Cricetulus griseus: one gene and its partner. The protein of the gene in region 2 purifies or fractionates together with the protein of the main gene of each other region. This does not show direct contact. Links are inferred from orthologs where the notes say so. Each region holds a gene or a part of one and is shown on either strand. Other genes may lie near its edges.

Evidence for each region.
Region 1: the proteins of Xpo6 (region 2) and Zmat2 purify together in Homo sapiens (co-immunoprecipitation; 3 studies listed by BioGRID and IntAct, with this or other methods). This does not show direct contact. The link is inferred for Cricetulus griseus from reciprocal best matches to the Homo sapiens genes XPO6 and ZMAT2.

The regions. Positions count from the first base shown.
Region 1 is NC_048595.1:200,730,612-200,733,991, forward strand, and holds the end of Zmat2 (zinc finger matrin-type protein 2), read right to left. Parts: intron 3,343-3,380; coding exon 3,269-3,342; intron 2,866-3,268; coding exon 2,720-2,865; intron 1,762-2,719; coding exon 1,618-1,761; 3' UTR 750-1,617; downstream 1-749. UniProt on the Homo sapiens protein: Involved in pre-mRNA splicing as a component of the spliceosome.
Region 2 is NC_048596.1:74,657,305-74,661,122, forward strand, and holds part of Xpo6 (exportin-6), read left to right. Parts: intron 1-1,362; coding exon 1,363-1,816; intron 1,817-3,818. UniProt on the Homo sapiens protein: Mediates the nuclear export of actin and profilin-actin complexes in somatic cells.

The DNA of each region.
Region 1 (3,380 bases), on a different chromosome or scaffold from region 2:
ATCTGTTTACATGACTTGTATGACTGTCCCCTCTGCCCTCATCCCCATCTCACCCTTGAATCCCTTACACAAGGCACAGTACGTGATCCAGGGAGTTGGGGGGAGGGGTGCAAGTTTGTTGACTAATCTATGTCATGGAGTTTAAAAGCTACACCAGTGTTTCTTTGTCATTTTCAATGGGAGAGCCATTTACCCATTCCCAGGGATCAAAAGTACTTTTGTCACAAATTGAATGGAAGGGAGTGCTACAGACATCTACTTAGGTGGAGGCCAGGGATGTTGCTCCACATCCTACAGTACATAGAACAGACCTGGCCAGTCATGGAGGCACAAACCTTTAATCCCAGCATTGAACAGGCTGAGGTAGGTGGATCTCCGAGTTCAAGGCCAGACAAGTTAAGACCCTGTCTCAAAAATACAAAACAAAAACCTCAAAGACTTACCTTGCTCATCGTCAACAGTACCAAGACTGAGTAACCCAGCGCCTGCCCAACTGCAGACAGTTAGGTTCAACCCTGAGCATTTCTGGTAGAATCAGAGGATGCTAAAATTACAGGAGGCCAAACTGTTTTGTTCAGACTGTCAAGGGGACAGATCCTATTAACACAGGGGGAAACCCACATTGAAGAAACCTATACTGGAAGGGGAGGGGAGAGGTTTCAAATGAAAGGGAAAGGCTCTATGTAGAAATCCTTACTTAGTATAGGAAGTTGTGGGAAAGGGGATGATATGAAAATGTTCCCAACGAATGTGAAACAGGCCCAGTCAGTGTCATTTATTGTACATGTTGAACAGTGTCTGAGAACCAAGGTTTCCCAGAGTTTGTTTGGTTTTAGGGTTCTTTTGTCTTGTTGTTTTCATTCTTTTTTTGCATCAAACAGGTTCTTCCAAGAACCTGTTCCCGAGGAAGACAAAAACAGAAATCCTCAGTGAAACAAGGTTAAAAACTCACCAGACACAAGCAACACCAAACACTCATCCCATTTAATTTCCTGTTACATGCACCAAGGAAACCAAGAACATTAGGCCCCAGGGCAGCAATGCTCTGAGATTCTAGCTCAGGCCCCTCTTTGTGACGTATCATGCACACATACCCACACACACATTGACCCAGGCAGAAGTCACAGGCATGCACAGGTGGCTAGAGAGCCGCTGGGTGGGGTGGGAGGAAGAGCTGACCAAGGGTAGGCCAGCACCCATATACTGGAGACCCAGATAACCCTTCTGTTGCAAGCTGAACAAGAGTAAAGATTAAAACAAAAGCAGAACACAGGGAAAAGGAGGATGTTCAGACAAGAGGCTGGATAGATGAAGAGGGAAAGATGCAGGGGAAGTTGGGAAAGCAGCCTCAAAGAGGGAGGTCTTTCTTTATTGGGAACACAGATGGGCAGAGGTTCTGTGGCTCCAGTAATATACTGAGGCTGACGGAACCTGCCACAGCATCACCTCTTCATCCCCAAGGAAGAGGGAAACCACAAAAACCCACCCTCTAGCCCTGCCCATTAACACTCTTAAGGACTTTCTCCAGTACCAAAAAAGAAATGACACCCCACCCCACCTCGACACACACTCAAAGTTAGGTCCAGTATAGGCCAAAGTTAGGCCAAAGAGAATGCCTCAGTAACTCTTCTTGGTGGAACCAAAGCCAGAGAAGCCCATCACAGCTGCCATCTCGTCATCCTCCTCAAATGTCAAGTCCTCCTCCGCCCTCCTTTTCTTCTCCTTCTGTTTCTCTTTCTTGTATGCTTTAGCCTTTTCCTCCTAAAGGGCAAAGGAGAAAAAATTACTCAGAATCAGTTCATTCCAGAGCTGATATTGTTGAAAGAGATATGTGAGCTTCAAGATTCTTTTCCATCGTTAAGCACGATAAAAGCCACAAGTAAAGATTAAAAGGTCAGTGATAAAGCACTTGTTCAGCTTGTATGAGCCCCTGAGACTGATTCCCAGGACAGCAATGGGGGTAGATTGTAAGAAAAGATTTTAAGGGATAAGAAGAAATTAAGTCTCTGGAGTTTAATTATACACCCTAGTTCATCTCTAGTTCTAACCAGAAAACATCATGGGGCATGCAGCGTATGCTAAGATCTGTTCTCAGTTCTGTGTAAATATTATTCAAAGATTTCCCATGCAGAAAATGAAGTACACTGAGGTTATTCAACTTCCCCAGAATTGATGCAAACAAATGGAAGAAAAAGGATTCTGACCCTATAACCTGGAGCCATAGGCCAACTAGGGACTAGTTCCATTTATTTAGTCCCTCTTATAGTTTAAAAAGGAATAAGAAGTACAGGGGACATTATATGTGCATTCATGGGGATACAATGGCATTGGGAAGTAAACCAAATAAGCCAGGCGGTGGTGGCACAGGCCTTTAATCCTAGCACTTGGGAAGCAGAGGCAGGTGGATCTTTGTGAGTTTGAGGCCAGGCTGGTCTACAAAGTGAGTTCCAGGATAGCCAGGGCTACACTGAGAAACCCTGTCTCCAAAAACTAAAACAAACAAACAAACAAAAGAATAATCGCAAAGCACTCTGGTCTAAAAAGCTAAAGAGAAATGGATAGCTTTTGAGCCATTTCTCATGAACCTCAAACAAGGATGCCCTAGTACACAGAAATCCAGGAACAAGACTGGAGATTGGGGAGCCAGCCAAGGAAGAGGGCCATCTCCAATTCACAAGGTAAAACTGTAAAGTGGGGAGCAGGATCAGGAGAGTCTCACCTCTTCTCTGAGTTCCTTCATCCTTTCCTCAAAATCATAATCTTTCTGCTTCTCTTCCATCTTCTTCTTGTTGACCTCAAAACGCTTCTTTACCTGATCCAGAGTGGAGCGTTCCACGCGCATAGACATACCCAGGTTTCGCTGATCTGGGTGAGGTTAATAGTGAGGGCAACCAGTCATTATAAAATTCTCAGCCCCTCAAAAAGTCTGGTCCTGGCTTTTTTTTCCCCCCTTTAACCTTTACATAATAAAATACACAACAAAAGTAACTATGACTGAAAGAGGCTCTGGGTCTCAGCTGCTCTCAGAAGTGGCAGTCCCAGATAATAAGCACGTAATTTTCAGCTGCATTTACTACAAAGATTATCAGCTAACCTCTCCTCTAGCCTCTGTGTTACATACTCAGCAATACAGATATGTAAACACACACACACACACACACACACACACACACACACAGCCTAAGAAAACCACTCTACCACATTTCCCCTCCACCAGACCTTTAAAACCCAATCCTAGCTCCAGTCATGAACTACCTCCAAGTCTTACGTTTCTTTCCATTAATGTGATCCAGGAAGTTGATGGAGTCCTTCACCACACAGTCACAGACATTGCAGTAATAGCTGACAAATGGGAAGAAACAGCACATGGGTCAATCTGG
Region 2 (3,818 bases):
ACTCCCACCTCCTCCTCCTCTCTTCTTCCTTCTTTCCTCCTTCTTTGTAAACACTTATTCCCTCTGTTTCTGTGTTTTTGTGTCTTGGTCTCTGTCTGTATGTCTCTGTCTGTCTCATCAGCCAGAGGATAATTTTGTTTCTGTCCTTCCCCTATGTGGATTCCAGTTATTGAACTTAGATTGTCAGACTTGGCAGAAAGGACAGTTACTTTCTGAGTCATTGTATGCCACTTCATCTGTGTGTGTGTGTGTGTGTGTGTGTGTGTGTGTGTGTGTGTGTGTGCGTGTTTTCTTTACTTTCAAACCTATTCTCTTACTCCCTCTTTCCCATAACAGACAGAAATGCATATAATGTATGGCCTTTTGTGAAAACTGATTGGTATCCATATATTTCACTCTGTAAATAATGTGGTAGTGTTGTGTTCTGATGCTGGCCTTTCATTCAACACTATTCTTTTTGTTTTCTCTCCTGTTGTATGACCTCTGCTTGCTTGCTGTATGAAGCATATGTCCTTAGTGTCTTGCTGGTCTTCTGACTTCACCGAGGAGCCTGGATTGCCTCAGGCTGCCCCTATACAAGAGCCTCCATCTGTCCCCATAAATCTGTGTGAGGGTTGCGTGGAATGTGCTAGGAAGAGAACAGTCATTTGACAGAAGGAGTGGTAACAGGGTTCCAGAATGGCAGAGACTAGCAGAGCTAAGTGAGCATTCCTGCAGCTTCTCTTGCCCTGTGTGATATTTGCCAATAGCCTTTTTTTTTTTTTCCCCGTGGTCCCCTGTTAGATTGCATTTCTAATGACTCAGCTTGACATAGCCTGATAAGCCAGCTGACCTTTTGCATTTCTTTAGAAAATCGCTTTTTCATACCTACCACCTGTTTGTATATCTGGATGCTTCCAGTGGTAGGCAACAGTTCTTTTTCAGGTTTGAAATTTCAGTGTTAGGAATTGTGGCTTCTTATACTCCACTATTTTTCTGGTTACAATCCTTTTCATCAGTGAGAAACTCTTATTTGGTAATGTGTTGCTAAACTCATCAGTATTTTTGTCAAGGTTTGTGATTTGATTGTATCAATAAATCTTCCTCTCATCATGGCCAGATTCTCGTTTTTTGTTGTTTTTCATAATTATGAAGCTTTGTCTTTGGTTTAAGTTTGTAACTCACTTGAGCATTTCAATATATATATATATATATTTTATATTTGGCATTTGGTATTATCTGTAGTTGGTATTGAATATAGAGCACATTGGTTTTAGGTATCACTTTTATAGTGATGAAAGTGTTTGGGGGAAAGGAGAATTCATTGCAGTGTTTTCAAGAAGTTTGGTACTGGGTATGGTAAAGCATGTTTTGAATTTCCAGGTGATTTACTGAGTAACCTGTTGCAGAGTCCTAGTTCAGCCAAACTGCTGCCCCAGCCTATCCCTGTGCTGGATGTGGAGAGTGAGTATGTCTGTTCCCTGGCCTTGGAGTGCCTGGCCCACCTCTTCAGTTGGATTCCTCTGTCTGCCAGCATCACCCCATCCCTCCTCACCACTATCTTCCACTTTGCTCGATTTGGCTGTGATACCCGGGCCAGAAAGATGGCATCAGTGAATGGCAGCAGCCAGAACTGTGTTTTGGGTCAGGAGCGTGGCCGACTTGGGGTCTTGGCCATGTCCTGCATCAATGAACTCATGTCCAAGAACTGTGTGCCTATGGAATTTGAGGAGTACTTATTACGAATGTTCCAGCAAACCTTCTACCTCCTGCAAAAAATCACCAAGGATAACAATGCCCACACGGTGAAGAGCAGGCTAGAGGAGCTCGATGAGAGGTAATGAGAACAGGCGGGAGTCGTGCCCCGAGAAAGGGCCTGGCTGTTTGTCACACCATGTCATTTGGTGTTTGTAACCCCCCTTTGATTTCAGAGTGTGGGGCTACTGATAAAGATAGAAAGGTAGGTGTTCTAAAATGGTGAGGCTGACCTAGAAGGGCTTGGGTGGTTAAGGGAAATGAACTGAGTGTAATAAGTACTAGTGTATTGTGTAGGCCTGTTGTCTCTTTTCCCCATCCACCCACCTCCTGTCCTCCTGTCCATGCTCCTGTCCCTCTTCCTCACTGTCTGCCTGCAGGTCTCATGTGTGCAGGAAGTGAGAGTGCTGCTACTTCATAGTCGAGAACAGAAGCGGTCTGCAGAGGTACAGGGTTACATCACCCTTCTCACTTGGTACTGCTTGTTGGTTTTCACTATTGAACTTTTCCTGAGTGGACATCTTGCAGAGTATAGGAATGCTATTAGTATTATGAGTGACACATAAATGTTAGTATTGTGAGTGTCACATAAATGATAGCAGTTGATCCAAGATAAGAGATATGTTCGGGTAGGTATGATTTAGTGGCACATACTTGCATTGCTTGGCTTCTGCCCTCTTGACCTAAAATTCCCCAGGCCCATTTTTCTTGAGTACAGAAGATGACCTCGGTGAAGTAGGCCAAGTCAAGGTTTCTTTATTACCTTTGCAGGTGACATTATCTGTTTATCTTAGGGCTTTCTGCTTCTCCCCTCCATCCCCAGTGGTGCTAGGGTGGGACCCAGGACCTTGTGCCTGGCAGGCAGGTCATCCTGCCACTGACCACAACCTCGGCCTTCTTTGCTAAACACAACCCTACTACTGCTATATAAAGGTGAAAGGCAACTGGCAGCTTGTAGTTCTGGCAGTCATTGGGCTGTTGAAGCTTCAAAGCAGATGCAGTGCATTATATTAGAAAATAGTTGTAGACTTCCTAGTGCAAAGTGAGATGAGAGCTTAGCTCTTGGCTTTGTTCACAGTAAGTGTGGTAGGCTATGGAGTCAGCTGCCGCAAGTCAGGATAGTTCTACTGCTCTTTTGAAGTGTGGAGCTTGAAGTTTTTCTGGTTAGAAATTGAGTGAAGGTTAGTTTGGTTTGGTTCATTGTAAATAAGCTTTGTGTGACATTTGCCTTTTATAGTCACAAAAGTACTCATAATCTAATAGGATCTTTTCTTAATAAAAATTTTGTTTGTTACATTTATTTATTTTGTGGTTGGGTGGGGGCACATGCCATGTTGTGTGTAAAGGTCAGAATTGCTGGAATTGGTTTTCTTTTCTACTATGTGAGTCCCTGGGATTGCACTTGGATCTTTAGTTTTGGCAGTAAGTGCCTTTATCTGAGCCATCTCTCTACCCCAGGTAGTATTTTCCCCTCATTATGTAGTTGTACCTTCCTATTTGAATTTAAATGTCTCACAATTCACACAATTTCATATCCTTTCTAGCATTGATAAAGAAAGGCCATCTTATCTTCATATGTTAATAAAATGTATATAACTTCTTATATCAACTGTGTTGTTTTGACTTGTCCTGGATCCGAAGTGAAAACTGAGAGGTGCCTCAGAGGAAGCAAAAAGGTGAAAGAACAGTGTGTGCTTGCTTCCTAGCGCCTGACCCCGACTAATTATAAGCCACTTAGTTCATGTCAGTTGTTTAGGAACTGCTTAACCAGGTCCTTGGCTTCTCTTCCTTCACACCCTTTCTAACTGTTTACTGTTCATTAGCATCTGTACCAGGAAGGTGGGCAAGGGGGAAAAATGAGGTGCAGGCACATCTCTAGCTGTACAGTAAGCTTTGTTCTTCTTTGGGTGGTAACCCCCCTCCCCCTCTTTTTGGACAAGGTCTCAGTACTCTGGTTGGCCTGGAATTTGCTGTGTAGCTCAGCCTGCCTAGGCTTGAACTTGTGGCATCCTTCCTAACCTAGCTTTACTGGGTTTCTAGGATTAACAGCATGAGTCCCCATACCTAGCTTGCTTTTTTCAGTG